4 linked regions of the Rhinolophus ferrumequinum genome follow. The protein of the gene in region 1 purifies or fractionates together with the protein of each later gene. This does not show direct contact. Links are inferred from orthologs where the notes say so. Each region holds a gene or a part of one and is shown in the gene's direction. Other genes may lie near its edges.

Region 1 (8,058 bases):
GAGTGTGTGGTGCCCTAAACCTTCGGAAGAGCGCTTGCTGATCTATTGTCCACTACGGCTGTCGCCAGTGTCCTGACTAGGCTCACCTCGGTGGTCCCCTGGATACAGCAGCTCTCCTGCCATCCTCCACCCCAAACCCACACCGCTCATAGGAAATGGCCTGGGAGCCGAGGCTCGGGGCGGGGGGGGGGGGGGTCCCACCTCTGGCTCTGGCCACCTACCAATTCAGGGAGCCAACACTCTTTCTCCGTTCCCAGTCAAAGCTAGGAGATGGCTGGGGAGTTGCAAAGGGGTCTGTGTCCAGCTGACAGGATTTGTTGATGAACTAGATGTGGTTGTGAAAGAGTCAAGGACACCTCCAAAGTTTTCAGCCTGAACCAGCCCAAGAATGGTGAGGCCATTGACGAAGAGGGAAAGCCAGGAAGGAAAAACTTGGGGGGAGAATATAGGGAGCTCTGACTTGAACACATTGGGAAGACCATTAGCCTTCCAAGTGAGACATCAAGGAGGCATCTGGGTGGACAAGTCTGGAAATTGGGATTGGGAGTGAGATCTCAGCCAAAGATAGAAGTATGGGAGTCATTTGAAATGGTATTTATAGCCACGAGACTGACTGAGGTCACCCAGTGTTGGATGGCAAGGTCCTGGGCTGGGCTCTGGGGCTCTCTGATGAATAATTATTGGATAATAATTACCGCTGTTTTATTCCTTGAAGCCTCTGGCACAGTGCCTGGTTCTCCAGACAAGTTCACTGAATTGAGCAGAATTCTATGGCACTTTATTTCCCACCACGCTTTCCCCACTAATCAGGACTCAGATGCTGTCAGCAGGAGTGGGAAATGAAAATATTCTTTAGGAATTTCTCAGAACCCGAACGGAAATTCACTCTTACTTGGAGAAGGAAACTCAGGTTGTCTCAAATTCCCATTCCAGTAGTAGAAGTTCTTGTAAAGACAAAAATTCCATGTTCTACAGACCCCAGAATTCAAGCTCAAATTCCTGACCCACAAAATCATAAGACAAAATTAAATGTTAACCTCCACTGCTCTCTGCCATGCTGAGATTCCTGAGGTCCAGATGTTTTATTTTTACTGATATTGGGAGAACTTTAAAACTGGGAGTTTGCTATGCAGAGAATTTGGTCTTACACGTTGACCCCTTCAGTCTGTCACTCGCTGCAGGATGCCTGAGTGGACTCCAAATACAGCCCTCGCTATTTTGCTCCCCACCCTGAGAGCAGCTGTACCAGAATAGCAGCATGAATCACTTGACCTGCCATGCAACGTATGGGCCAGGATGCCTTCTATAGTGGAGCTGCTGCTTGTGCTGCAGAGATCTGGGGAAGGGGACACTGGCCGGCCCATATCTCTGCCTCCCTGCCTACTCAGGATGGCTCTGAGTTCACCGAGAAATATGGAGAAGTCCAAGTTAGTGGAAATTGTAATAAGAGCTAGTATTTATGAATGAAGAACTAGTTCAGAAGTGGCTTTACTGTGACACTGAGTAAGCTTAAACTTTAGGGTCTCCTGTTTGTATCCCTTCCAAAACTCCATACCTCATTTCTTAATTTGTATGTTTCTTTCCTCAAAGAAAGATCTCAAATTTTTGTAAGTTTCCAGTCTGACAAGACTCTAGCATGAGTTATTTTGTTTAATCCTCACAGTAACTTCGGGAAGTCATTGGCACTTCATCATCCCTTTACAGGCAAGGACATAGAGCATAGAAAAGCCATGTCTGAGTCCTTGCAAATTCCAAACTTGTTTCAGCCTCAGGGCCTTTGCACCATCTGTTGCCATGTCTGGAGCCTTTTCCTGGCTGGCTTCTCACCACTCCAAGTCTACAGGGCCTTCACTAACCACCCACCTCTAGGAAAGCCTTCCTTTCCTGCCTCCCTGGTTATTTTCTATCCCTTGCCTTTTGTTTTCTTTATAGCACTCACTACTCTAGAATTATCTTCATTTATGCACTTATTTTTATTTAACAAATGCATATAGTGCTTACTCTGTCATGAGGCACTGTTCCAAGTGTTTTACAAATATCAAATCATTTAATCCTCATAACTACTCAGACATTGAAACTTTTTCATCCCCATTTTAAAATGGAAGAAACTGAAGCAGAGAGGTTAGGTAGGTTGCTTCAAGTCACACAGCTGATGAGTTTAAGTATCATCTGTCCCTCCCGCTAGAAGACAAGATCCGTGCAGCGAAAGCTGCGTCTGTGGGCTGCCTTGTTCACTGTTGAGCCTCTGTACCCAGAGTAGGGCACTGAACATAGTAGGCCTACAAAAAATGATTGTGGGAGATGATAAGGCCAGGTCATAGAGAGGGAGGAATGAGAAAGAAGCCTGGAGACAGGCTGTGGGGGAGATGACAGAAGGCCTCCAAAAGCCACTGGAGAGGAAGGAAGAGTTGGTCTGGGGGGCAGCAGTGGGATTGACAGAAGTATGGTGGTCTGCAGACAATGCCAAGAAGGAAAAGTCTTGTTGACAGATTTAATTTAGCAGATGAATAAGAGAGGCCAAAAGCCTTGAAATCATCCTTGACTCCATATTTCGTGCGATGCAATCAATGCATCAACAGATCCTGTCAGCTCCCCCCAAAATGCATCCAGAATCCAAGTCCTCAGCCCTCCTCTGCTCCCACCCTGACCCAGCCACCATCACAGCTCTCCTGGATTATTGCATCAGCCACTTAAGAGGTCTCCCAGCTTTTACCCTTGCCCAACTCTTCATCTACACAGCAACTAGAGGGATCTGATAAAATGAAGTCAGATCATGTCACTCTTCTGCTCAAAACCTGCCAGCATGTTCCAAAGTGAACACAATTGCCTCCCACCTGCAGGACCTTGTCCCTGCTTCCTGTTCTTCTGGCTCTCCCACTTTCTCCCTGCTCCTGCCATTCTGGTCACCCCAGGGCAGTGCCCACTCCAGGGCCTTTGCTTTTGCTATTCCCTCTGATGCAAGGTTCTTCTCTAGACTTTTCATGAATCTCATTCCCTCAGGTTTTTTCTCATATGTTAGGTTTTCACAGTTTGCCCTGGTCACCCAACACCACTTGCACCCTTTCCCTGATTTATTTTCCTCCACTGCACTTAAGCAGATACACTATATCAACTTTTAGTTTGTCTCCCTGCTAGACCAAGCACTATGAAAACAGTGATTTTTGTCAGTTTTGTTCACTGCATTTTCTCCACTGCCCACAATTACACCTAATACATAATAGGACGTTCAATAATATTTGATGGATTAATGAATGTCTGCTGTGTGCCAGGCATGCAATGCACCTTGAACACAGGATAAAGGAAAACAGACACAAGGCCCTCTTTGACTTCACAAAATGTGGTGCTGTACCAGTCACTGGTTTGATTTGTGATTGGACACATGTATAGTCCACAGTGCTGTGAAAGCAAATCACAAGTGGACAGAAATTAGTGTGCTTGTTGGGGGCCGGTTGTCAAGATGTCTTGACAGCTCATCTCAGCCAGACATTGGAGACGTTACCCTGGCAGAGTTGGTGGAAGGGTGATCCCAGGAGAGGGAGCAGCTTGCAGCCAGGCCCAGAGTGAAGGAGCCCACCTAGTTCAAGGAACAGAGAGGTCAGAGTGGCTGGAGTTGGGTGCTGAAAGTGGAGGACAGGAAAGAAGAGGTGACAAATGTAGTCCTGCCAGATTAGACAGGCCTTGAGCCCCAATCTAAAGCCTCCAAATTCTAACCAGCAGGCTTGTGGATCCGCATTGGCTTTGCCTGCAGTGTCCAGAATGGATCAAAGACAGGTGGGATGTAAAAGGATGCAGTGCAGAGAAGCTACTGGCATACAGTAGGGCACTTAAAACCCTGGGAAGGGATGGCATTAGCTAGAAAGGGGAAAGAACAAGGACACAGGAGAGCCCAGGACCCTCATGCAAGCTCTCTGCAGACCCTTATGAGGCTCCTTTGTTCCATAAACCACCCACTGGTCCAGGTGGAAAATCAGCATTTTAATTCCGCAGGCCGTCTCATTCATGATCTAAGTCCTTCCTTTTCGCCTCTTTCCGGGTGCCTGTTCAGCCTCGCGCTTTTGGGCAGCGGTTTAAGACCCTCCCAGGCCGCCGTCGCCGGCCAGGAGGTAGTCAAACACCACACTGAGATCTGTTTCCTTGACATCCGTATAAAGGTGGTAGCTCCCTTTCACTAAACGCTAAATACTTCATGAATATGAACCCTTCCGCGGCCCCAAATTACCAACCCTTTACTGGAGAATTTCAGAGAGGGTATGCATCTCCACTGAGGGGACCCAGCGGGCCACAGGCCCCGCCAAGGTGAGATGCCGGGTCTGTCCTAGCCAAGCCCCATCGCCTTCACCGCCACGCACGGTATTTTTCCACATTCAGAATCGAACAGCAGGGATCCGGGGACGGACCAGGGAGCTCTCTTGAAGCCAACCCAGACAGTCACCCCCACCGGCTGAGAACCCCCCGAGCCCGCCGCACGGGCGAGACCGAAGCTTTCTGCCGCTGAGGAGGAGTGAATCCTCCGCAGGACCACAGCAGATGAAAGAGAGAAGCAGTCGACCGCCCCGCAGCCGCGGGAGCAAACTGTGCAGCGGGTGATCGTGGCCTCGAACTCCCATAAACCCCACACTGCCCTTTGAAGGGCAGTGATTTACACCTATCAGCGCAGAGTGTTGGCAAATCTCCGCCCAATTGAAATTTTTCTTATCTGAAGGAGTTTCCGTCATAGAGTCCGCCAGCCCAATGGGAAAAGTGGAAATTTCCAGAAAGAACAGGACCAATGGGCGCAGCCAGCACGGCCACGACTGGCGGAGCAAGCAACCAATTCCTGTCTCAGATCTCCGCCCCTCCCTCCAATCGTAGAGCCTGGGATGGGCGGGGCCTGTCGGAAAGCGCCCAATCCCGAGGCGCAGCTGCCCAATGAGAGAGAAGCAAAGATGATGGACTAGACTTAAAGCCAATAGTAGAGAAGCACAGAAAGCCCCTAGAAGAGCCCGACCAGTGAGCAGGCGAGGAAGGGGCGGGATCCGGGGGTCCCGGCAGCTTCTAGTAGGTTCCAGAAGGCGGCGTGTGCAGTTGGGAACGCGTAGCGGACGGAGTCTATTCAACGGAGTACCGGGCCGGCTATGGAGCAGGTGAAGGGGGAGGGGCAGGCTGAGGACCCAGGGCCGCTCGCTGACCGGCCAAGGCCAGGCGATGGTTGGAGGGGCGGGGCGGGTGCCCGATTGGGACTGGGAGCTCGGACGGGCGGAGCAGCGACGGAGGCGAGGGTGCGAGGGCCGTGACTGGCCGGCGGGTGAGCGGTGGAGCGAGGCCCGGCCGCCGGGAACGTCGGGTTCACTCCACGCCGTTCACCTCTCGACTCGGCCCCGGGTTAGACGACAGTTGGGCGTGAGTCCGGCCCTCGGCGGGAAGAGGCGCGGTGGCTGGGTCCCGCAGGCCTCCCGGAAGGTGGCTCCGGGCTAAGTCGGGGGGAAGGAGGTAGGCGAGGGACCTCAGAAGAGGCGCGAGTGATCGGGTGCACGTCAAGGAATTCGCTTTCTGGGAGATAGATGAGACTGCCGACGTAGAAGCCACCCAGGACTTGGCCACAGTTAACTTGGAGGAATGCAGGCAGCGGGGACGGGAATACACTGGAAGTAGCTGAGGCACTTAGCCAGTTGGGGGAAATACTATTTTGCTGCTTCTGAAAACCGGCATGGAAGAGTGTTGAGTGAAGGTGTGAAGAGTAGCAGGCCGACGACTTTGCCTGATGCCGGAAAGGAGAGGGTGCAGCAAAAGTCTTTGGAATCTATTCCCTCCACCAGTGTTTCACAAATTTATTTGCAACCTTCTCCCTCTTTTTTTTCTCCTTGTGTGTGTGTGTTTCTAGAGTAACTGAGGACAGACACTTCTGAAAGGTCGGTTTCTAATTACACAAGGAGGACTTAGTCGCTGTAGAAAATTTAGACTATAGATGAACAGCAAGAAGTCAGTTATTTGCCTTTGCTCAGTATTTTAGAGGGGCCGAGTTTGAAGCTGCTGCTGCTGGTTGCTTTGAATGACTTAATTATACCTCAGTGGCTCGAAGGTTGTGAAAGGCTTAGAGTGGTTTGATTCAGTTGGAAGCTGTCATTGAACTGTAATGATCGATCTGGGGTGGGGGAGAGAAAAAGGCTCATTTTGGGGGGATAAAGCTGAACCTTTTACTGTTAGGATAGCCATTGTTCTTTTGGTCAAATTTGGAGCCTCTGCTAAATTAAAAAAACATGAGAGTGGAATGGAGAAGTTCAATTTTTTTGAGCCCTTGTAATTTAAATTGTATCTGGGATTAAATAGGCTGTAGTATAGATGAGAAAAAGATTTATGGAACAAGAAACACATCGTTAAATTTAAGAATGCTTTTTTCCTGCAGTTAACAAAATACCAGAAAAACTTTTTTTGAAAGAAGAAATCACACACCCATTATGGAAGTGTGTTTACAGGTAGACTTTAAATGAATGTCAAAACTAAACCCAGGACTGCAGCTTTACCATGGCAGTTGTACAGATGACCTGGCATTTGTACAGATGACCAGGTGTGAGAATATACTGTCTTAAACCCGTTCCTGAAAAGAAACGTGTGATTTCTTTACATTTTGTTTTCATTTTCAACTCTGAGATTCACATTTCAGCTTTAGGGAATATTCAAATTGGACAAATTAGAGTGTCCAAAACTGTATTTTTTTGTTAAACAAGTGCAGTACCTTTAAGATAAATCCCACAGTGATTCACTTCTTACATTTGACCCAGTACATATGTACAAGTGTATGACATGTTTTTAACAAAAGGATACTGTTACGTGTATTACACACTGATATTTTTCTATTCCATTTGATCTTCTGAAGTGCTGGTCATAATCTACAAACTTGATTTCCTGACTTACTGTACTCAGTTTGGAAAATGATGTTCTATAGGACAGGCAGGAACTTTACTGAGTTGTTCTCAACTGTCTCTTGTTACTAGTTGAGTTTTTACACTTCTTGCCTTCTGACTTCCATCCTGAACTCTTAAGATTTTTATCCCTTATTTGCTTGAATTTGGCAATCTCCTGCCGTTTTTGACTTCGAGGGTTCTTTTCAAGATCTCTCTGATGGAGGTTCCCGATTGGTGTGCCTCAGGGCTCCAAAATAATTTTCTCTTAAGAGTTCTTTCTTGCATCAGTATACTGGGTCATGGGTGGCTGATAAAAAAAAAAGAATGATGCAGTAACTTGAATGGCATAGCTTGATCTCTGGATGTGTTTGCATTTGAGGTGTGGCCCTCCCTCTCATAGGGCATCCCTGATTAGAAACCCCTTTAATTAGGACCCTATTCTGATGGCCAAGGCCCGCGTCACTTTTCTAAATGCTTTGGTGTGTTCCTGCTTCTTGCATTCTGAATGTTGGAAAGGATAAGGGATTAAACTGCAAATAGTATTTTTTCATTCTTCATTTCCTTTGCAATATATTAACACTTAAGCACGTCAGAACCTGATTTGGGGTGGGGGGGCCAGCTTTCCTTTACCATTAAGGAGCAGGGCACTAATCTGCTATGTTGTGACATATTACCACACCTGTAAATGAAAATACATAGATTCTTTTTTGACCGTGTAAGAACATCCTGATGGCTTTTTCCTGTAGGGAGTGATCAGGTCTGTGCTCAGTTTATCATTTGGACTCTTTGGAAACCTATGTCAAATGAATTTATTTTGCTATGACAGGAACTCATGAGTGTGCTCTAGAGGTTTCATCAACTCAAAGTGGACATTTGGAAGAGTGGCTGGGGCTCCTAGTAATCCACACGAGAGCCAGGGGAAAGGAGAGTATCAGGCTTCTTCTGCCTGGTGATTTTACTTGTTCCTTGCTGGTTCCCAAAGGTGTGGGAAATGTAAATGAATTAATCTATGATTTCTCTCTTCTGATCTGTAAAGTAACCTATTTGTCGATAACTGCAGCAAAGAATGAGCATCACCTAAAAAGCTGGGACTAAATAAGCATGTTGTGGAAGTAAACTAGATTGGCTCCTTTTTTCCTCAGGTAAATGAGCTAAAAGAGAAGGGCAATAAGGCCCT
Region 2 (7,758 bases), on another chromosome or scaffold:
AGATCTCCTAGTGAGTCAACAAATAATTAACAAGGAAAAAAAGCAAACAGGGGACCTAGATAAAGGAGACTCAAGAGACAGGCAAACCTAAAGCAATGTTGAATCATGATGCTATCAAACCAACAATAAAAACATTCGGGAGCACTTGGAAAAATATGAATACAGATTATATGATTTTGAAGAATTATTCTTAATTTTGTCAGGTATGCTAAAGCATTGAGGTTATTTTTTGTTTTTTGAAAAAGTATTTATTAGAGATAAACACTAAAGCATTTAGAAAAAAATGTTTCTGGGATTCGCTTTAAAATAATCATGAAAAACTCCCATGTCCTAACACAGTATTTCCTATTTACATATTACATCCCCCTTTTTGTCCTCATACATAAACATTTTTTTCATACCTATAGACATAATACACCAATATTTTTATGATCTGATAAAAGTATTGGTATGCTGTTTCTGAAAAGGTGCTCCCCTATTTGGAATTTCATTAGCAACATCTTAATTTGCAGGTTTCACTCCACCCTTGACAATAGTGGTTGTTGCCATTTTTTAAATATGAGCATTAGTGCTTTAGGAATTGTGATGGTTAGTTTTATGTGTCAATTTGACTAGGCTAAGGGATGCCCAGGTAGCTAGTAAAACATTATTTCTGAAGGTGTCTGTAAGGATGTTTCTGGAAGAGATTAACATTTGAATTGGGAAACTGAGTGAAGCAGATGGCCCTCGGATGGGGGTGCCTTATCCAATCCATTGAGGGTCCAAAAAGAACAAAAAGGCAGAGAAAGGGTGAATTGGTTCTCTCTTCCTGCTAGAGCTGGGACATTCGCCTTTGGACATCAGTGGTCCTAGTTGTCAGGCTTTTGGACTCAAATAGGGACTTATACCATCAGCCCTCTGATTCACAGGCCTGAATTACATCATTGGCTTTCCTGATTCTCTAGCTTACAGACAGCAGATGGTGGGATTTCTTGGCCTCCATAACCATGTGAGTCAATTCCTATAATAGATCTCCTACATCTATCTCTCTATATATATTCTACTGGTTCCGTTTCTCTGGAGAAACGTGACTAATCAGGGCTCTTCCCTTGAATATGAATTTTGTGGGTGCTCAGCACGAAAGAACGTTTCTCTTTGTTTATGGCAAACAGTGATGATATCTCTGGCTTTTGAATCAGTCAAATCTTTCCAGAACCATCATTCCTAACTGTCTGACCTTAAGACGAGGCCTTCACCTCCTTGAATCTTAGTTTCTTATGCTGCAAAATGGTGACAATATAGTAGTGGAGTGTTACGGTGGAGAGGATATGAAGTACTACACTTAGTACAGTGCCTGCTACATAGTGAGTACTCAATACATGCTTGCTGCTGCTGGTCTCGATGGCTTCTTTTGACTTCTTGTTTTTAACCTCGTGTCTTAGTCCGTTTGGGCTGCTACAACAAATATCATAGACGGAGTGGTATAAACAACAGAAATTATTTCTCCCAGTTCTAGAGGCTGGGAAGTCCGAGATCAAGACACCAGTATATTCAGTGTTTGGTGATAGCCCCTTTTTTAGTTCTTAGATGGCCATCTTTTTGCTGTGTGTTTCTCATGGTGGAAGGGGCAAGGGAGCTCTTTGGGGTCTCTTTCGCATGGTGGAAGGGGCAAGGGAGTTCTTTGGGCTTACTGCCCTCATGACCTAATCACCTCTCAGAGGCCTCACCTCTTAACTGGGGGTTAGGATTTTCACATATGAATTGGGGGATGGAGGGAGGGACACAAATATTCAGTCCATTGTACCTTATCATATTGGACATGTTTATTTCAAAAACATTTATCCTCTTTATCTGACTACAAAGCAGTACATATTCCCGGGGGGTGGGGGGAGCTTAAACTTTATCCCCAGAAAGTGCAAATTCTGATAACCCCAACCCTCATGGGTCATTGCCATCAACAGTTTTGTTTGGTGCCTTTTTTTCAGAGGGGATGAAGCCTAATAATTTTGTATTAACATCCTGACAAGGTTGTTTCTTGCTAAACCCTATTAACGAATGACTATTAATTATGTAGATACATTATTTATCCTAAGCTTTAGTTTTATTATTTTTATATAGAGATATATGAGTACCTGTGGTCTAGTTGTGAGAGCAAAATGAGAAAATGAAGAGCTCTTATGTGTGTATTATACACTAGCACACAGACAGGTGCGTGTACACATACACAAATAAGAAAAAAGACTGAAAGAATATTCATGACAGTGGAGCTTCCTGCAGGATGGAATTAAGGCAATTTTTATTTGCTTCTCTATACTTTTATCACCACCTCCACTAATTTTCTACTAAGAACCTGTTTGTTTTATAACCAGAAAACATTGTGGGTTTTTTCATTTGTTTTTCAAGATTAGCCACAGGAGAAAGGACTCAGGAAGGGAATGTCTCAGTGTATGTCTATGTCCCACCAATCCCATGAGAGATAAGCTGGAGGTCACCTCAAAGAGGCAGGCCTGTACTGTCACCGAGAAGAGATGTGTAAAGTGGCCGCTATCAAGTTCTAGAGCCATTCTCCCCCGTCTAGTGTAGGAAACTGCACAATAATCCTGTCTTTTGCTTCCAGGGTCTGAAGCCCCAAGGAATCTCTCTCAGACACACTATAGTAAGACTTTCCTCGATTCCTCTAAACTAGTTTCTTTCAGGGAATTCAGTAAGATAGAGCAAAGCCTAGCAATCTAGGGCAGGATCGAAAGTCTCAGACATGGGGTAGAACTCCTTCACTTATAGCTGAGGGAATGGGGGAATCACAAATTACCTCAGTTTCCTTATCTGTAAAATGCAGGTAATAAAATCATCCGATTTAGAGTTCCTGTGAGGAATACTTGAAGTATGTGAGGAATACTTGCAAATAGGAAGTACCTAATACATTATTAATTCTAGTACATTGCCTAGTATGCAACCTGGTATAGAATTGTGAATTAAAGAATGAAAGAATGAATCTGGATAGACATTCAAGAAATATAATTAGGTAGAAGTTTCAGAATAACATATAGAGTAGGATTCCCTTTTTATAAATATATATTTATATGTGTATATTTTTTTCATTTGAGGAATGAGGTGGCCATTTGTAGAAATGACTCAGGAGACTACATTGTATATCCAGTTGCAATAAGTAGGGTGTTCCCTTAGGGAGACAAAACTGGATGGTAAATGCCACTAAGAAAACTTCAACCTAATACATTATATTACATTAGGCAAAGGGGATTCAGTCATTTTCTTAGACCATTGTGAGGGCAATAGAAATGGAGAAAGATGAAGAGAATCTGGAAACATTCCACAAATGAAGCCCATAGGACTTGCTAACTGATAAAATACAGTGGTGAACAAAAAAGAGGCATCAATGATGCTTTGGTTTTTGGTTAGAAAGAGGAAAGCATCTCCTGACAGCTGAAATTGCACTGGTATCTGGTTGGACTTGGTTTCTTCCTGTTAAACAATTTCGCAGAATGTCAACATTAAACAAGGACCAAGATGTGAGTTCGATGGATCGAGCTAAAACAAGACTACTTCATAATCATGTCTGAATGCAGACAAAAATGAACATTGTCCAAACCACAAGTGACCAAATATCCCCTATCCTGGTTAATACGAAGACCATTTGCTTCCTTACCAATTACAGGTTTAGCCTCGCTTCATTCCTCCCACCTTCTAGAAAAGATTGACTATGATACCCAGTCAGAATTATCCGTGCTTACTGACAGTATTAATTCCAGAGCGAAGCTCTGCTGCTTTGAACCTTCTGCCAAATCACCTAACACAGCCCATATTCTATAAAAACCTTTTTCGAACACCCCCTTACTAAGACCCTCCCTCACTGCAAGAGGTCAATAAAACACATCTTAGTTCAATTGTAGATCTTTATAGGTCTTTGGCTGAAGGGCTTTGACGTTGGCACAAGCAACTCGGACTGGATCATGGTACTATTACCTGAGAAGGGAAAAATGAGGCATGATCTGTGGTTGGAGTTGACAAACTCTGCTAGCCCCTCTGGCAAGCCTGTGTCTCTGATGCCCCAGGCAGCAGCTGAAAGGCTTCTCACAAGTTCTCTGAGGTATTTACTGATCCTCCATGCTGTTCCCTCAGAGGCATCACCCACTTCATTTATAGTAAAACATAGAAGGAATTAATACTAGCTGATATTTAATGAATGTGTATTATGTGCCAAGCAGTGTTCTAAGGGCGTTAGATATTTAATTCATTTACTTCTCCCATCAACCCCATGAAGATAGGCACTATTATTATCGGATTTTACTACAGAGGATTCGAACTTAGAATATATTCAAGGCCCGATAGAACCATCCTCAAGCTTTAGCAGTCTAAACTAAGGCGAGGTAGCCATCTTGTTTGTAGTCTGTAAGGACTGCCACTCCCGGCATTCCTTGCAGCAGGGGCCTCTCCACACACAACAAATCCCGGCGTGCCCCTGGGCGGCCCGGAGTGGAGGGTTCTAGAAGGCGTGACGTGAGGTCAAGAGCGGGCTCAGAGGTGGACGCTTCAGCAGTCGCTGTGGCCGCAGCTGCCGGGCCCGGGGACGTGGGTGGCCGGGGCCGCGGGTACGAACTCCTCGTTTCCCCGGCCATGGCCGCGCTCGGCCGGCCGTTCAGCGGTCTCCCCCTAAGCGGAGGCTCGGACTTGCTGCAGTCGCCTCCGGCCTTAGCCGGTCGGGCCTTCCCGCCGGGGGCGGACGGCGCCGAGCTGGCCCCGCGGCCGGAACCCCGCGCCGCCCAGAGCAGCCCCGACGGGAGCGCCGCTCGCGGACGGTGAGGAGCCGGGCGGGCGTGCCGACGCGGGGCGGGCCGGGCGGACGGACGCGGGAGGCTTCTCAGCCCCAGTCTACAGATGTGGAAACTGATCCCCAGAGACCTTAACTGTAAGTCGCCGGAGGTCGCACAGCCCGGGAGTCCGGTTCGGACCTCAGCCCTCCTGCGCCTCCTAGAAGTGAGGAGACTTACCTCAGCTCGTCCAGGTGGGGTCGGGATTGGAACCCTGGCCGACTGGAGCCTGGACGTCCTCTCAGCGCATACACGCCTGGTTCCCCCAACGGGCACGGTGCGACCGCTGGTGGGAGCAACTTTGAATGCTTGTCGGACACTCAGCTTTTTTCCCGCAAAGTGGGACAGAAATGGGTTCTCCTAGAGACCTTGGAAATAAAGTGGGTTAGCACAGTGCCTCGAAAACGTTTTCCCTACGTGAGCCTCCCCAAATTTATCTCCCATTACCGCGACAGAATGAGTTTAGATTTCAATCTCTAGTTAGGTCATAACCACCCACCGTTTACCTGACTGACCTTGTGACCTGTATATCCGCCCCACTCGACAAGGAAAGGGATAGCTGGGTGGGTACCTGTAGTTGGGCAAGCTTATTGGAGCATGACAGAGTGAATGCTGAAAGCACAAGCTCAGTAAATTTCTCAATTAACTTCTTTTTTGTTTATTTCAACAGTGTTTCAGTTCCCTGTAAAAAGAAACACAAGCTAGAGCAGGAGGATGATGAGTAAGTTTCAGGTGCCATTTATTCACTTTATGGTCACTTAATGTAACCTATTTTACATTCTCGACTATTTGTTTTAAGTGAAAAGATGAGACGTTAGGTGTCTCTGAAAGGAGGCACAAGGAACTGATAACATTGGTTATCTTTTAGAGAAAGTAGCGGGGTGGCTGGCAGGTCAGTTCGGAAACTTCACTCTATACCCGATTGTAAAGTTTGAATGTTGAGCCATGTGAATATTATTACATGCACAAAGTAAAAGAATTCCAAATGTGTAAAAGGATGTATATTGAAAAGTCTTACACTCCAGAAGTAACCCCTGTTCAACCTGTTTCCTATTTCTCCTGTGGAAGTTCATTTAAAAACTTACAAGCTTATAATTGTGTATACCTCTGGTTTTTTCACGTTTGTAAGAAGATACTCTTCACACTGTGCAATATATTGATCTTCTCATTTTACTTTCCTGTATAGCCTGTTGCATATAGGCACATAGTGTTCTACGTAATTTATTTTTCAACAATTGAACAGAATTCTGTTGTAAGGCTAGATATCTTTTATTAACCAGTCTCCTATTGATGGATTTCTGAGCTATTTCTAATCTTTTACTAACAAATCTACCATGACCATTCTTGTTCTTTGTATATATTTGCAAATAGGTTAATGGATTCTTTAAAAATGTATGCAAGAGTTGTTGCCCAGTTATGTACTCCTTTTAACAGTGGGAATGCCAGTTTTTCTTTTTTTTTTTTTTGCCTCTAATCCCCCCCCCTCGGTTTTTAAGCCATTGTCTCTCAGTCTAGTTGTAAGGCGCAGCACCCTGGCCCATGCTGGTATTCTGAGCCTTGCACTCCCCCCGGCTGAGGCAGTCGGTTGCCAGTCGTTGGTCAGTCGTTCATAGCAGCCCACAGAAGCCCACACTGACCTCCAGCTGTTCATCACAGCCCAGCTCCAGTGAGAGCCATTGTTCACAATCTTAACTGTAGAGGGCGCAGCTCACTGGCCCATGGGGGAATCAAACCAGCGGCGGAGCACAGCGCTCCAACTGCCTGAGCCACTGGGCTGCCACCTGGTTTTCCATCTTCTCACCAGAACTGTATTTTGAAACTTTTGACTTAATTCATAGGTAAAAAAATTGCATCTCAGAGAAGCACTCTGTGAAAAAAATGAGTGAAACAGTTCCCCAAAGAGAATATCCAGTTGACCAGCCAAATGAAAAGATGTTCCACCTTAGCAGTCTTTAGGGAAGTGGACATTAAAGCCACAATGAGATACTACTCTACCAGTAGACACTGGATCGGTCATGGAGCACCAGGAACTCTCAAACACTATGAATGAGAATGTAAATTGGTACAAGCACTTTGGGAAACAGTTTGGAATTATCTAATAAGTTGAAAGCACATGTACCATTTAACAAGTACCATTTAACATTAACCAGTTCCCCTTCTGAGTATGTACATGCACATATCAGGGGACACATACAAGAAAGTTCATAGCGTCCTTCTCATAATAGCTCAACACTGGAAACAATGCAAATGTCCCTTAATGGTAAAATGTATACAATATAATTCCCTAACTATAAGGTTCAAAACCAGGCAAAGCTAAACATTGTTTAGGGATGCATGTTTGTGTGTGTGATAATGTATTCTTTTTAAAAAGGAAGTAATTACCATAAGAGACTGTTTACCTGTAGGGAAGAGGGAACAGAGGACCATTTTGGGAAAGTGACAGCCTATCTTGAAGGTTATTTTCATGGATGTGTGTTTTGCAATTATTCATTAAATTGTATGTATTTTTATGAGCATATGATTTTTTTTTTTTAAGATTTTATTGGGGAAGGGGAACAGGACTTTATTGGGGGAACAGAGTGTACTTCCAGGACTTTTTTCCCAAGTCAAGTTGTTGTCCTTTTAATCTTAGTTGTGGAGGGTGCCAGTCAGCTTCAAGTTGTCTTTTGAGTCTTAGCTGTGGAGGGCGCAGCTCAGCTCCAGGTCCAGTTGCCGTTGCTAGTTGCAAGGGGCACTGCCCACCATCCCTTGCTGGAGTCGAACCGGCAACCTTGTGGTTGAGAGGACTTGCTCCAACCAACTGAGCCATCCAGGAGGCAGTTCAGCTCAAGGTCCCGTGTTCAATCTTAGTTGCAGGGGGCGGAGCCCACCATCCCTTGCGGGACTCGAGGAATCGAACTGGCAGCTTTGTGCTTGAGAGCCCACTGGCCCATGTGGGAATCGAACCGGCAGC
Region 3 (8,364 bases), on another chromosome or scaffold:
CATGAAATGTTTAGAACAAATTATCTAGAAATTAACACAAGATGGTGGTAGTGGGGAGTTGGAGAGATCCACAAAGGAATTTTGGAGATCTGTCAGAAATTTTCAGGTCTCTTATTCTGCTTTCCTACAAATATACCTTCTTATTATTTGTCCTCTAAGAAAGGTGCTTTTGCTTTATAGTTCAGTTCTGGAAGACGATTTGCCAAAGCTGGGGAATGCTTTGGTGTCTACCAGGCATATTTCATTATTGTGCTTTCGTTTGTATAAAGCTTGACTGATCCATAATCAACGTAGCTAACTTCTGAGAGGTTTTGGTTCTGTTAATGAAGTCATACCTTCTCTAACTCATCTCTCTTGCTTGGTCTACCTTATCTCAAACAAGTCATTAGACAAGAACAACACTAACAGGCCGAGGCATAGGCCGAGCTTACAAATTCCTGTAAAGCCTAACTACTCCAAGTGTGGTCTGTGGACTAGCAGCATCGGCATCACCTGGGAGCCTTTGAGAAATTCACGGAAAACCTGTTAGATATCAAGTCCCATTCCAGATCTCCTGAGTCAGAAACTACATTTTAGCAAGATCTCTAGCTGATTTGTATAAACATTAAAGTCTGAGAAGCAGATATAAAGAGCCATTCATTGGCAAGGGTACCCACCATGCCCCACTAAATATATTTTAGGGACAAATATCCTAATCAGATTTATGTTTGGTTAATGCAAGCTTAATTATTACAAAGATTTTATTTCAAGCACGAAAAGTTTTCGTGAGGAATAAATGACAAACATGCCTCCCCACCTCCACTACTTCTTGACAAGATTTGGTGGGATGGTGGATGAAATACTGATGTAAGTATATTTATTTCTTTTATAAAGTTTTTTCAGGAGCTAAGCATTCATTAAATGTTCATAGTAGCCTTATGAGTCGATATCCCCAGAGTACAACTGAGGAAATACTTACCGAGACACAGAGACGTTAACTAACTTGCCAAAAGTCACATAGGGAGGAGCCAGAATGCTAATCCAGACTTGCAGTCTCCAAGACCATCCTTGTAAATACTACTCTATACAGTCAATCCTCATTACTTGCAGATTCCATATTTGCAAATTCTAGTCACTAAAATTTATTTGTAACCCCCAATCACCAATACTCGCTGCAATGTGACGATCAATTCAAGAACAAGTGCGTGTGCAGACTGGCAAAATTTTGAAACACCAGATGTACATATTCCCAGTACAAGGTAATGCTTTTCCTGTTTTACCTCTCATATTTTAAACAAGTGTCTTTTTCAGAATCTATTTAGTACCAAATTTTTCATATTTTGTGCTTTTTGTTCGTAATTTTGCAGTTTAAAATTGGCCAAGCAAAGCGCTGAAGCCCTATCTAGTGTTCTTAAGTGCCAGAAAGCTTTGATGTGCCTTATGGAGAAAATATGTGTTAAATAAGCTTCATTTAAGGATAAGTTACAGTGTTATTGGCTGTGAGTCCAATGTTAATTAACCAAGAATATATTAAATAAGGTAAACAGAAACACACATAAAACAAGGCTATGTATCGATCAGTTGATGAAAATGTTGTGACCACAGGCTCACAGGAACCTAACTATATTTGTTCTAGGGGCAAGGATTCAGTATTTGCTCACATGGTATTCTCAGTGACTTTATGGAACATTACTGAAACTGTTGTTACATGTACCAACTTGACATGTAACAACAGGAAAGCCACCAAATTTAGAGCATTTTGAGGAACAAGAGATCATTTTCCCTCAAACTCAGAAACAGCAGTTTAAGGTTCCTGACAGGATAACCACAGGGACTGATGATGGTATTATTTCATAGCTTACAGACTAAAAACATTAGAATACAATGTACAAAGTCAAAAAATGAATATTACATCACCAAAGACAAAATTCAAGAGGTGGCTCCATAGAGTACATACTATACCCCCAGGACGTGCAAATGAATCAGTGAGGTAAGAAAAGAGTACTAACATTCATCTATACTTATTATTTTAATGTCATCTTTAAATTCTATTTTGTAACTTAACAGTACAATAATATGTGTACACAATTTCTAAATTCTAATGGTAGTGCCGGCTTCAGTTCTGTTGACGGCACACATGACCAAAAATTGTTGGGAGATCACCACTGTAGACAATCAGAGTCAGTACATGAAAAGAAAATAAACTCCAGGGGCATGTGTCCTGCAGTGAGGGACAGGGCTGGTGGCTTTGAGGACTCAGGTGCACTGGGACCACCTAAGAAAATCTGGGTTCTTCTGCTGCTCTGCCCCCAAGTTGTGATGATCCTCATACAGGAAATCCCTCCAGACATCAATTGACTCATCAGAAAAACTAATTATCTGGTTGCAACTTTCACTAGACAATCCCAGCTAGGAGCCCATCCTGCACTAGTAATTTGACAATTCTATGACTCAGAAAAAGACATAATAGCTGGTAAGTAAAACCATTGTATGTTGTTGCCTGGAGTCTAAGGACTGAGTACAACAGACTGTCCACAAAATACTACTTCCCAGACTGGGAGGATTGTATGGAATCCTATGAGATCTTAGACTGTCAGTGTTATCATATATAGTTAGGCTGCATCATATACACATTTAACTGTAAGTTCTCGACAGAGAGCGAGAGAGAGAGAAACAAAAAACAAAAAACCATGACCAGTGCTAGCAATCTGTCTGCCATTCCATTAAACGAGGGTGTTCTGTTCCCTGGGACAGTCTCAGTTCCCCTGTGTCTCTTACAGTGTGAGTGGCTCAGTGTGAGGCTCATGTTTGACACAACATATTTTTCATTTACATCACCTAAACATAAACTTTTATACTTCCTCTGGTGTTCAAGGAAAAAAGCAGGGATTGTTTCAATCCTAAAGGAAAAATGGTTGCATATGACTTAACTTAAAGGTGAAAATCGGCCTCCAAAGAAGACTGATTTGCTAAGGGTATTACAATGGCAATTTTTGACATTAATCTTCATAGTATACATCGACTATTGAATCAAATCCCCAAATAAAATAAGACTCAACTGTAGTTTTTCTGGTTCACTTCTAAACCTATCACCAAGAAACTGAAATTTGTTCCCATATACTTTTATGGTACTTCATATTGATTAAAGTGTTCTCTTATCAACTGAGTCATTTAACATACCTAGCAGCAAAGCAAAGACACAACAAGCACTGTGGTTCCCATTTCCGAGATCCAGTGCAATAATGGAAAGAGTAAGGTTTTTGTCAGGCAATTTGGGTTCAAATCCTGGGCATTGTTCAATTTTTCAGGGCATTGTCCTATCAGTAAAATACGCACATATCACAGTTTTTGAGGATAAGTCAAGTGTACAAGTGGCATGTATACAGTACTCAGTGTTTCCTTTCACCATTCCACAGGAAACAGGCTACAAGGTGACACATCTAATGTGACTAATTCCCAATTCCCTGCTCCACGATCGGAGGTTAAAGAATATAACTTAGCATCTCTTTAAAAGGTGTTCAAAGATATACTCTGCTAAAAGTTTTTTTAAGTAAATTTGTGAAATGCTACTCTCTGGAAGACTCACAAAGCATATATGTGTGCATGTGTATGAGATTGACTCTGAGAAGCCGTGCAATAAACCTGAACATGTACAGAACATTTCCCAAAAGTGCATTTAATACCGAATCCTTTCTTGCATAATTACTGTAAACATCCACACAGACCCAATGTTCTTCTGAGCATACTTTTAGATGAGTATACTCTTTCAGTTACATTACTTTGATAAATTAACGTATAACAAGGTAATATTATACTATAGTTCTTAATAAAAATAATGAATAGATTATATGACAAGGCACAAGAAACCAGGGCTACCTGAAAATTCATCGTGACACTTCAGTCTTTCCATTTTGCCGGACTAGAAGCCGCAAGGATCTAGATCGCGGCCGCCGCCTAGCTAGGTCCGACCAAGCACCTGCGGGGCGGGGAGCGCCTACTTTACCTCTCCCGCGGCGGACCATCCCTCCTCTGCCTTTTTTCGCCACTACCTCCATCCCTTCCCAACCATCTGCATTTAACCAAGGATAGGGACGGGGGACAGTGAAGATGGTGCCATAAGAAAAAGCATCCCCGCAACCCGCCACAGCCTTTCTTCTTTCTCCTGTTCCACAGCGGGCGCAAAGCCACACCACCTCTCCTACCCCTCGTGTCTCTGGTGAAAGGTCTGCCAATACTTTTTTAAAATTATGTTTTTAAGCACAATTCCCTGCTCCCTTCCGCCCCTCACCTTCACGAAAGCAATCGGGGTTGTGGTACCTTCGATATCTAACAGGATAACAGTGACTTCAGCGGGCACCGAAAGCACGACCATTTCCCTACCGGATGCTACCACCGGAATCGGCCTACTGGTAGGGAGGGTAGAGGGCGGTGCCTATTGCGCCCTGCACTGTCCTGGGATTCCGACAGCTCCGCAAGAATCTCGCAGCGTGCAACCGGGTGCGGCTTGAAGCACGAGGGGAAGAGGCCACTTCCACGCCCCTGAAAGTGGAGAAGGCGACCACACAAGGGACCTGAACTCGGAAGCTGCCCAGAACCTGAGGCCGAGACCACGTGGGCAGGGAAAGGGGCGGAACTTGCGGGGCTCCGAGAGGGCGGGAGGAGGTAAAGGCGCCGACACCGATTGGCCGCCAGAGGGCCTCGAACCCGATCCGTCAAAATGGGCATCGCGTGGGCGGGAACAAAGAAGCGAACGCGGGAGCCTGGTGCGCGGGAGCGCGCTCTCCGCAGACTGGTTGAGCGAGCGGGAGAGGCCCGGGGCACGTGCAGACGGGAGCCCCGCGAGTGGCGCGCCGGGGATGTGAGTGCCCCTTGCCGTCTACGGCACCTAGCCCCCTCCCCGCCCACTGCCCCCGCTTTTGCATATTTACAGTAATCTGACCGGGCCTGCGCCCCTCCTCCCGTCCTAAGCCATCAAGAGGCCGTACGGGGTCCTGGCTGGCCTGACTGCGTTGGCCCAGGTTCCGGCCGATCGGCCAGAGAGGCTCGCCGCGCCCTCTCGGCCCGCGCGCCTGTGGCGGTAGCGGAAGAGGAGTCGGCGCCGCGCCGCTGCCCGGAGGGGCTGCCGCGCGCCCGCTTCCTGTTCGGCTGGTTCCAGCCAGCTCGAGGACAAAACACGCGTGCGCGCGGCGGACTGGCAGGCGCGCTCGCTGCCTCAGCCGCGGGTGCCGGGCGCAGTCCGCCTTTTTCTGGAGCAACCCGGCCACGGTGCTAAACGATAACAGCCGCCGCACCAGCTCCGCACTAGGGGACCGAGGGCGGAAAAAGGCGGGGTTGACGGCTCTTTGCTAGGAGTGGGCTGGACCGGACGCCAGAGACAAAGGCTCTCCAGGCAAGAGGGACTCGGCCCTGCGACGGCGTTGCTCGGGATTTTTGACCCAGGACTTTTCGCTCCTTCGTTTTTCTCTTCTGACGCTTTTCTTATCCCAACCCGCGCCCCCTCACCCGCGACCTCGCTCCTCACCGGAGGGCCGCGATGGAGGTCCCGCCCCGGCTTTCCCATGTGCCGCCGCCATTGTTCCCCTCCGCTCCCGCTACTTTAGCCTCCCGTAGCCTCTCCCATTGGCGGCCGCGGGCGCCGCGACAGCTCGCCCCGCTCCTCCCTTCACTCGCTCCCAGCTCCGCGCGGCAGGGGGCGCGCCGGGCCCAGCGCCACGTCACTGCCCAGCAGCCCTCCCGATTGGCGGGCGGGGCAGCTATAAAGGGAGGGCGCAGGCGGCGCCCGGATCTCTTCCGCCGCCATTTTAAATCCAGCTCCATACAACGCTCAGCCGCCGCTGCTGCCGCGACTCGGACTGCGCGCCAGCACCCCCCGGCCGACAACTCCGCCACTATGGAGGACATGAACGAGTATAGCAACATAGAGGAATTCGCAGAGGGATCCAAGATCAACGCAAGCAAAAATCAGCAGGATGACGGGTACCGCACGCTTGTCCCCTCTCCCCCTCCCCCAGCGCGCTGCGCGCGCTCTTCGTCCTTCGAGTACCGCGCGCTGCGCACATGCTTGCCCCGAGTAGATTTCCCGCGTGCTATCAGCCTCACTAGCTTGGAGAAAAGAAAGTAGGAGTCGGAGGGGGGTGACTCGAGAGGCCCGCGGAAGGTGGGGGAAGGGCGGAGGAGTTGGAAGCGGAGGGCGGTGGCGTCTGTGTCCCGAGTGCGCAGGCGCTGCGTGGGGCCGAGGGGGAGGGGCCGGCCTCGCTGCGCCACATGCTGCAGCTGCCGCCGCCTCTTCATTGTGTCCCTGTTACGGCCCCGCGCAGTTTTCCTGGAGAGTTTGGAGCTTTTGGTTTGGAAACCAGTAGTGTTCACTGGTGTCCAGTACCTCAGGACGCGTTATGATGAGTTCTTTAGGTGGAACGTTGGCTTGACAGCTGAGGAAGAGAGTGACCTAAGTTGTGAAAGATTCGTTTAGGAAGTTGGATTTGTAAACTAAAATGTTTAACGTATATTGTTAGCCTTGTTGAAACTTTGCTTTATGCAGTGTGGAGAGCAAGCTGTTAACTGTTTTGAATAAGTGGCTGCGATGGAATTTTGGGATTTTTGTGGTCTTGATGTAATGTATCTGAAAACATGGATTAAATGACTTGGGCATAGGGGTTAAACTTCCCCGTATTATTTCATAGTTAAACATAATACCAGAACTGGAGTAATCGTTTGAGCTGCTGCTAACCTTTTTAAAAAAATAACTTATTTCTAGTAAAATGTTTATTGGAGGCTTGAGCTGGGACACAAGCAAGAAAGATCTGACTGAATATTTGTCTCGATTTGGGGAAGTTGTAGACTGCACAATTAAAACAGATCCAGTCACCGGAAGATCAAGAGGATTTGGATTTGTGCTTTTTAAAGATGCTGCTAGTGTTGATAAGGTAGGAACGGTGTTTTGCGTTGTGCTGCTTCTGTGTGCTTTTTTTTGCAAATTGTTCCATGGGTTGGTTGTACAGTGCTGTCAGATTAAATAAATCTGTCTTCCAGGTTTTGGAACTGAAGGAACACAAACTGGATGGCAAATTGATAGACCCCAAAAGGGCCAAAGCTTTAAAAGGAAAGGAACCTCCCAAAAAGGTTTTTGTGGGTGGATTGAGCCCAGACACTTCTGAAGAACAAATTAAAGAATATTTTGGAGCATTTGGAGAGGTGCGCTGTGTGGCTGTTCATATTTTGTATTTGATGTGTTTATGTAATGTTCATCCCTGGTCCACTTCTTACAGAACAAATGCATATATCAGGTGAAGGTGGTAGTAAATTATTGCTCAGGTTCCTTCCAGCCATCACGGTTTAATCACTTCTTTCTGTGCTGTAATGGAAACCAATATTTAATTTATTTTGGCCATAACATGGGTGCTTTGGTGTAGTCAGTGTTTGAACTTATTAACTAGTGGCATTTATTGGGTATGAAATGATAATAAAGGAAGTTTTGCTCTCTCTAAATGCTTAACATAAAACAAACTAAGCTAGTTTGATGTTATTAAAACAGTAGTCTATACAAACAGTAGTCTATACAGAAGTCATCTGATTAGAATAACGTTATGGCGAAGCTTGAAAAGGCCCTGTGGGAGTCTAAAACCTTTTGGTAGCTTCTTACCATTACTGGATGGTCTTGAGTGTTCATCTTGATTTCAGATTGAAAATATTGAACTTCCCATGGACACAAAAACAAATGAAAGAAGAGGATTTTGTTTTATCACATACACAGATGAAGAGCCAGTAAAGAAATTGTTAGAAAGCAGATACCATCAAATTGGTTCTGGGAAGGTAAAGCTGTTTTATATATTAAATGGAAATTTTGAATTTGTTTTTATTGGTGAAAGAATTTCTCAAATCTGTTTTGAGAATAAAATGGCTTAACTTCAGAACTTTAGTAACAATTTTGTTTGCTGTTTAAAATTTGTTTATAGTGTGAAATCAAAGTTGCACAACCCAAAGAGGTATATAGGCAGCAACAGCAACAACAAAAAGGAGGAAGAGGTGCTGCAGCTGGTGGACGAGGTGGTACTAGGGGTCGTGGCCGAGGTGAGACTTAATTCTTGGCAAATAACTTGGTGTAAGCTGTAAGTTGCTAAATAATAAGCCCATAAGAAAGTAAAACCAAATTTAAGTTGTTTCAATGTGGAAAGTGCTCAGTGGGTGGGTTTTCGTGTTTGAGTTTACTGGTTTCACTTCTTCAAAGAATGGCCACTGACTGTCATCACTGAGGGAAAATAATAGCATTAAATGTAGTTAAGATTACATGGTATACCTTGTAATAAGTTTTCTTGGACAGTACTTATTTTAAAGTTAGACAGTCTACCTGTCTTCACCTTTGTCTTGATTTTCCAGTAAATTGAGAAA
Region 4 (7,593 bases), on another chromosome or scaffold:
GCCACGTAAGCGTAAGCGAGGAGGGTGGCCTGGGGGATGAGGCCGGGGCAGCTGCTGTAGGAACAGTCTGACAGCCTCGGGAAGTATAGAGGGTCAGGGACGTGCAATGTGTCCTGCCCCAGTGAGAGCTGGGGAGGGCGGTGGCTTCCTGTCTGCCAGGTAAGCCTGATGTGGATCGCTGGAACCAGGCAGAATGACAGCCATTATTACATTTTCCTTAACTGGACAGAGAACTGCTTGGCCCCACGGGCAAAGTAACTATGAGAACATTATGATTTCATTTCTTATGAATGAACAACATAATTGCCAGGATTTTCCTACTTTGAAACTATTTTTACTCCTGAAGAAAGAAAAAGTACCCGATGAAGAAAAACAAGGCCTGTCCTTATTTGCAGTCTGGAAGTATGGCTGTCCTAAATGGGATTTCCTGTTTGTCCAACAATGTCAGTGTTTCTGATTTCCTCATGTCTGATAAACCATCAGTGATGTTCCTGTATTGTGTCTTTTAATATGAGACTCCCGGGCAGTCAGATCACTGAGGCTAAGAACCGTGGGAGCTAAGGAGGGGGAGGGCGGGGTCTGCGGATCCAGAGCGGGGAGGTCAATCACAGGAAGGTGGGAAGAGCATGCGGGTAACAGGTGTTTGCCGCGCCCCGCCAATAAGTCTTTCCCGTGTGAAAAGTTATGTGGAGTGATATGTGGTGATTGCTCTCTTCCTCGCATGGCCCCCTACCTAAATTCTTTTAGGCAGTTAAGGGATAAAGAAAAGCTTTTCCTGAATCTGCTGGGCCTTCATTGCCTTCAGCTCAAAAGAATCCACATGCCAAAAATGACATGTTTTGGGGTGGCATATGCTGCTCCCCCTCAAATACATATCATACTGTATTAGTGAATAAATGCTGGTTTTCTTACGAGGGATGATAGTATTGAGATTATGTAGGAAACTTTCCTTATTCTTCCGTGAGGCGTGCTACAATATTCAGGGGTGAAGTGTCACGATAGCTAACTTGCTTTCAAATGGTCACAGAGATAAAGCTGTGGGAAACGTGGTAGCAATTGATGAATGGAGGTGAAGGGCTTTCATGTGTTCATTTGACTAGGTTTTCAAGCTGAGTGTTCTCCCCGTTTCCTGTGTTTGTGTTAAGTAGCAGAATGTACCTCTTTGGCATAAGGGTTACTTTGAGCCAATGATTTCTGAGGAACTGCAGAGGCAGGAGAAGCGCTGAAACCTAGCGGAAGTTTACCCCTTTGTCAGGGAAATTTGCCTGTCGAGGGAAATCTCCATTTGTAAGTGTGTCTCCCTCAGTGCCAGGAAGTGGAGGGTGATTCTGAATTCCAAGAAACTTATCACTGGAGAAGGAAGGGGACTGATGTCTGCAAAACCACCTAACTGTTTATCTTGCTTGTCCTGATAGCAGGATCCCTCACCCAACATCTGTCGTCTTTACCTGAAGATGCTACTGAAGGTGGTGGCTTCTGCTACCTCCTGGAGCTTCCTAAGTGTTCCTGGGTCTCTCCCTGTGCACATGAGCTGTTCATGGTACTGAACTTCTATTTGTTTTTCTCCTTTATTTATCTGTCATTTATTATAGGGCGTCTCAGCCAAGAACTCAGACGGGACAGAGAAAATTATTTCACATACACGTATGTATGCACCCATGGGACACACAGTGAATACAATTTTACAAAAACAGGATCACTATACCCACCGTCTCAGTAATGCATCTTGGATATATTTGATGTCAACAAGCGTAACTGCATTATTATATTTGTGGCCTGTATGGTATTTTCTGGTAAGGAGGAACTGCTTATCTGCAAAGTTATCCATCACCTTGTAAGTATTATACTTTTTTTTCCTTCATTCCTGCTGTTGAAAAAAATAAATGGAGTAAATTTGAAGATCTAATTGGGTTTATCAAGCCATTCATGAATTAGGCAGCCTCCTATCTAAAAACTAGAAGGGCGCTCCAGCCAGCACAAAATCGAAGGTTTTTTATACGAAGAAGCTCAGGGGGCAAGGAAGCTGTGAGCAGAAGAAAAGAAAGGATTCTTTCTAGATCAGGACTTCATCTTGGGGGGTGGGTAGTAAGGAGGGGGGAAGGGGATGGCAAGTTTTATCATGCAGATTGACAGTTCTTTCCAGGGAGTAGGGGTTGGGGGATGGAGAGGGCCCATACAACGAAAATTCCAGAGTGGTTGATTACGTTTCTGGGACAGGTGGAAACAGGAATTAGCTCAGGTATTAAAATCTAGGTTTCATATCATGGGACTTAGCACAAGTGATGCCATTCAGGGCCTGTGGTTTTCTCTCTCTCTTTTTTAACATTGCACTTATTGTTTTAAGGCAAAATTCTGTAAATGTTATCCTTGGATCTAAGGCAAATTTCAGTTTGATAAAAATTTCCAAACTATCATTCAGGATCTTCACCTGAGGTTGCTGGACTCCTGGATGGGCTTGGCAGGGTGTGGGCATGTGAGTGTGCGTGTGTGTCTACCGATTTATTCAGATCGCTTGCACATTTTGCTGGGGAGAAGCCTGAACCTCTTGTCAGTTTCTTGAAGAGGCCATGACACAGAAGAGCTATTATTTACTGTGTATTACTGTGTGCCAGGCACGGAGCTAAGCACATACAATTAACCGCCCCATCAAGCTCATTATCCCCATTTTACAGGCGAGGGAACAGTCATCAAGTCTTCCTCGTCTTCCTGCAGACCGTAGCGGTGTCCCTGCTCGGCTTCCCTCGCCTACAGAGAGCGTGTGAAGCCCTTGGCCTCTGCTCAGGCCCAGCGCTTGTCCATCTTTGTTTCTCTTTATCGTGGTTCAAAATGATTGCTTCCATCAAACCGACATGCTCACTCTCCCTAGGCCGTCTGCTTTTGCACTTGGCCTCCTCGGTCCTCTCCAAGTGCCGTTTGTTCCCTTCAGTGTAAATACTTGCTCTTCTATTTTGAAGTGGTCGTCCTCTGAACCAGCGTTCCAGTAGCACCACCATCTGGGCTGATACTAACTTTGGAATAAATGATTAATCTTATCTTGAAAGATTTTCTCGGTTGTTTCACAAAGAGTGAAATATTACATAAATATTTCTGTTATTTTTCAGGGTATTTATTCCTGTTCTCCCAGTATACCATGTGCTTTTCATCAGGGCTGGTACCTTGTTTTTTTCTCATGATACAATTCACTGCACTGACAGATGTTTTTAATAAATATATGTATATATTTTTTGGAGGGCGGAAGAAGTTATTTGTGGCTAGCCTACCACTTACTATTTAAAGTTCATGTCTCTGTTGTCTGCATTTCAAGATTAGCTCACACTTGCTGTAGGGACTTTTTAAATGTGAAATGTCACATGATAGCACTGTCAACACTGGAAGGGAAATAAAACTCCATCAACCTGCTGGTAGATATGGTTACATGTGCCAGATCCAAACTGTGCATATATCTGAATGAAATTCCAGTCTCTTCTGAGATTGTCTTAGGTTTTAGCATGAGATGTCCATACTGAGACCAAATATGGTTATTCCTTACTTTTCAGCAGTCATTTATCAAACCGACTACACGAAAGAGGATCAGGTAAACAATCTTTTTTTTTAATTTTTGCTATGTGGTCAAAAACTATGTGCTGTAACACAGTGAGTGTTTAAGAAACCCAAGAAATGAATAGACACAATATAAAGCAATGTGTAAAATGTTGCTTGCAATTGTGGTTGACACACGTTGTTGTACTAGTTGTAGGCGTACACCGTAGGGAGCAATCTTTTGAAGTAGGGAAAATTAGAACCATGGCTCCTTCTGGGTCCCAGACGCCGAGAATGAGGTTATTGTCAGCCTTTATACACAAGGGGTGTTCAGCGTCTTCACCCCAAGTATGTCAAGGGCTTAGATGAGCGAGAACTCGGCAAGGGCTGTTAGACGAGAAGGTGGCCGAGTCAGGGCCCGGCCCCAGCACATGGCAGCCCTCCGCGTGCGTGCAGCGGGCAGGACACTTCCTCCCGGAAGGGAGAAGGCCGCCCACGAGCGTGCTCGGGGTCACGAAGGGCGACAGCAGACGCCGGGGCAGGAGCCGGACACCGAGACCTTCGCGCGGAGGCCGCCAAGCACCCTCTGACCTCCCGGGGCCGGTGACCGCTTCCAGGGCGCCGCCTCCTCTCCAGGGCCAGGGGTCGTGTCGTCCGACCACACCCCCGCCCGCGCCGCGCGGACCGCCCGCGCGGAACCCGTGGGGACACTAGAGGCGCGGAGGCGGCAGAACATCCAAGTCGCGCTAACCTAACGCCCGGGGCAGCACAACTCGGACGACCGGCTCGAAGCCGCGTGCCCGTCCCCCGCGCTCCCGGGGTGCGGGGCCGCGGAACCAGCGCTCGGCCCGCGGCGCTCGGCCCGGCCGCCCAGAACCTTCGGGAAGGCGGGGGCGGGCGGGGCGCATGCGCAGCGTCGACTGGGCGGAAGTGGACGCGCCGCCGCGTGACGCACTTCCTGTTTGTTGTTGGAGAAAAGGAGAAAGGAAAGCGCGAGGAGCCGCCGCCGTCACCAGCGCCGCCGCGCAGGAGCCGAGGAGACCGGGCCGCCACCCCGCCGCGCCTTCCCGCTGCCGGTCCCGCGTCCTCGGTGAGAGCCGCCCGGGCGGCAGCGTGTGGGGGTCGGGCCGGGGGCCTGGTGCGGGGCCGCGGGCCGGGGCCGGCGGGCTGGGGCCTGGAGTGGGGCCGGGGCTCTAGGGCGGGCGCCGGGCCGGGCCGTGCTGTGGGGCGGGGCGGGGGCGCGTCGCTGCCACCCCCTCCTCGGGGGTCTCTTCCCGGCCCCGCCGGCGGTTGGGTGCGGCCGGGGCGGCGGGCGGGCGGCCTCCCCGGGCCCCTTCCCCGGGCCCGCCGGCGCGGGCCGAGCTCGCTCGCTCGGCGTGTCCCGCTCCCAGCGGCCGCGGCCTGCGGCCTGAGAGGCTGGTCGGTCTTGGCGCCGTCGTAAGCCCTCGTGGGCCGCCCCGAAGCAGAACAGGTAGGTGGCGTCGCGGCGCCGAGCACAGGGCGCGCGTCCACGACTCGCCGCAGATTTTTCCAAAGTTGGTTGATGAGCGACATGCCTGGCTTGCAGCTTAACTTAGAAAGCCACTTGCTTTGTTTTACTTCAAGGTGTTCCGCGGTTTGTGTAGCTGAAGTGTTGATCCTTTTGCCCAAGTGTGGAAAGCATGCAAGAAGTGCAAATGGCAAACTAGCGTCTCGGAAAAGGTTTTCGCAGGTAGTGGGGGTTGTCGTGGTCAGAGACGGAAACTCGGTGCCGACTCTCTTCTCTCCCAGAAACTGCAGGAAGGACGTGGCCGCGGGGGAAGGATCACGCCACTAGAAGAGTGGGCTGAGCGGTGCTCCCTGCAGTTTTCAGAGTTTCTGTTTCAGTTGTAGGTTCGTTGTAAGATTTTTATGGCTACAGTCTTTTAAGGCGATGGATTTGATTTAGTAGAAAGGTTAGACCAAAATGACCAAAAGGGAAAAATAAACCCTCAACCATTTGAACTTATTTGCTGATTGTTCGTAATCTTTAATCGCCCTTATCCTAATAATTGTGAATGTGGAAGACGCTTTAGTGGTAGCTGGAAGGAATTATGTACTGCCGTCGCCCCCATCTCCCCAGTCTGCCCCGGCCCTGGTTCTTTGGGAAGGTTAATGCAAACTTTTCTTGTTTCCAGTAAGAGTCTTCACCTGTTCTTTGGGGTTAGGACTTGTATGGTGTGGAATGAAAAGGTGGGTGCTGTTTATGCATCCTGTCTGATGAGCTGTGGAATTTTTGGGTTATGCGGAATCTGAATTTGGGGACTAAATTGGTTTGGTGTAGTGGTTTGTAGGTGTGGATGACTTGACAGGAAGTAGGAGGAGAACAAATGGGGTTGAGAAGTTGGTTTTTGGAATATGCCTACCTAGGCTTAGCGTGGTGCAAGCTGGGAATTGAAGAGCCTTTAAAGAATTGGAGATGAGTTCAGCACTCTTAAGAATATCGGTATTTCACATTTGTTTTGGATTTGAAAGGGGTAGACTTGGGAGGCGTTTCTGGCTGCAGGACAGAAAGGTACTGGCCGCCAGGTGGGGAGTAGAGTTGGAGTGACACTCGGAAGACTAAATTTATGGACAGGCGGTTCAAGTCCCATGGCCTGCAGCTAAGTGCACACAATGCCTTTCCTCTGAGCAAGCCCATTATTTTTAAGTGGGAGAACCAAGGGGACAACCAAGAACAAACATTTCCTCTTGTAATAACTCTGATTTTGGAGAGTTTCAAGCAAATAATTGTGCCCTTTACCAGCACTGGCAGCTTACATCCTAGCAAACGAGAAAACCAGGTTTGTGGTGGGATGGTCTATGTATTTTTTACAATTTTAGAGAGCACTTTCAAATTTGGCACATTATTTTTAGTTCAGCTTTTTTGGGATTGCAGTGTAATCCTGACCATGTCACCTTAGTGTGTGTGACTGGTTTCCTTCCACTGGGGAGACACTGAGTGCCCCTGCCTGCATGCTAGAGGTAAAGGTCAGCCCAGCCGCTGAGCTTGCCAGCTAGCCCAGCTGGCCAGCACGTCACGTCTGATGGCTGCTGGTAAGGAGTCAGTGGATACGCTACGCCTTTGTGTTTGGAGTTGAGGTGCTATCGATTAAAAAAAGTTTATTTCTTTTTGTCTTCTCATTTCCTTGGAAGTGATTCTAGAATTTAGGATGGTATTAAAAGTGGTTAGATTTAAATTTGTCCGGGACACCACCTCCTGGTGAAAGGCTGGTAACTGCAGGCTTATTAGTGAATTAGAGTGGGATCAGTAAAAAGATTGAACAAGTGTAGTTTCTCTTTGATGAGTAGAATTTGAGAGAACTTGAAACTCGAAAAAAGGGAGGTAAATGAGAAGAAAACTGAAGTCGGTGAAGAAAAGAATAGTCCTAGAAATGATAATGTAGGAAACAAAAGACAATTTTAAGGTCTACTTGGAGAAATGACTTACTGGATAAGTCAGGTAGTAAAAATGTGAGGATTTATATTTTGAATATAAGGTTTTTCCAAACTTTGTATGTTTAGGAGGACTTTAAAAAAAATCACAGTTGACCTCTTTTTATTTTAACATCCTACCTAAGGAAGAAGTACATTTTAAAAAACCTTATTTTTAAGGTAGGGAAAATTAATTTCTGTAAAAGTAGTTAAGGAGTGGCCGGTTACCTCAGTTGGTTGGAGTGTGGTGCTGGTAGCACCAAGGTTGCCTGTTCTATGCCTGCATGGGCCACTGTGAGCTGTGCCCTGAAAAAAAAAGTGAGAGTAGTTACGTTTCTAAGGTTTGCATCATATATCAAAGCAGAGTAGGTTGTCTCTTTATATCCTTTGTACCTTTTTTCAAAAGCTATATCTTACCTAGGTATGGCTTGGTTTTCTCTTAAAATTTTTACGTTATCCAGAGTTTGTGAGGAAGTTTTTGTCCTTTCTAAATGAAAAACGATGGCCACCATTGCTTATGGTTGTAAGGCAGTGGGGCTATTCGTACGTACAAATACTCGAGGTATTTTAGGGTTCTTTTTGTCCCCCCCCAACCATCAGTTCTGTATCTATGGGTCTGTTTCTGTTTATTCATTTGTTTTT

Evidence for each region.
Region 2: the proteins of STIP1 (region 1) and CCDC117 purify together in Homo sapiens (affinity purification with mass spectrometry; 5 studies listed by BioGRID and IntAct, counting the BioPlex papers as one, with this or other methods). This does not show direct contact. The link is inferred for Rhinolophus ferrumequinum from reciprocal best matches to the Homo sapiens genes STIP1 and CCDC117.
Region 3: the proteins of STIP1 (region 1) and HNRNPDL fractionate together in Homo sapiens (co-fractionation; 3 studies listed by BioGRID, with this or other methods). This does not show direct contact. The link is inferred for Rhinolophus ferrumequinum from reciprocal best matches to the Homo sapiens genes STIP1 and HNRNPDL.
Region 4: the proteins of STIP1 (region 1) and DNAJB6 purify together in Homo sapiens (affinity purification with mass spectrometry; 3 studies listed by BioGRID and IntAct, with this or other methods). This does not show direct contact. The link is inferred for Rhinolophus ferrumequinum from reciprocal best matches to the Homo sapiens genes STIP1 and DNAJB6.

What each region holds. Positions count from the first base shown.
Region 1 is NC_046294.1:7,220,392-7,228,449, reverse strand, and holds the start of STIP1 (stress-induced-phosphoprotein 1), read left to right. Parts: upstream 1-4,986; 5' UTR 4,987-5,114; coding exon 5,115-5,123; intron 5,124-8,023; coding exon 8,024-8,058. UniProt on the Homo sapiens protein: Acts as a co-chaperone for HSP90AA1. Mediates the association of the molecular chaperones HSPA8/HSC70 and HSP90.
Region 2 is NC_046308.1:18,340,186-18,347,943, forward strand, and holds the start of CCDC117 (coiled-coil domain-containing protein 117), read left to right. Parts: upstream 1-4,443; 5' UTR 4,444-4,611; coding exon 4,612-4,793; intron 4,794-5,475; coding exon 5,476-5,526; intron 5,527-7,758. UniProt on the Homo sapiens protein: Facilitates DNA repair, cell cycle progression, and cell proliferation through its interaction with CIAO2B.
Region 3 is NC_046288.1:37,427,799-37,436,162, reverse strand, and holds the start of HNRNPDL (heterogeneous nuclear ribonucleoprotein D-like), read left to right. Parts: upstream 1-5,321; 5' UTR 5,322-5,512; coding exon 5,513-5,955; intron 5,956-6,733; coding exon 6,734-6,902; intron 6,903-7,008; coding exon 7,009-7,170; intron 7,171-7,656; coding exon 7,657-7,788; intron 7,789-7,931; coding exon 7,932-8,046; intron 8,047-8,364. UniProt on the Homo sapiens protein: Acts as a transcriptional regulator. Promotes transcription repression. Promotes transcription activation in differentiated myotubes. Binds to double- and single-stranded DNA sequences. Binds to the transcription suppressor CATR sequence of the COX5B promoter.
Region 4 is NC_046309.1:769,642-777,234, reverse strand, and holds the start of DNAJB6 (dnaJ homolog subfamily B member 6), read left to right. Parts: upstream 1-4,456; 5' UTR 4,457-4,609; intron 4,610-7,593. UniProt on the Homo sapiens protein: Has a stimulatory effect on the ATPase activity of HSP70 in a dose-dependent and time-dependent manner and hence acts as a co-chaperone of HSP70. Plays an indispensable role in the organization of KRT8/KRT18 filaments.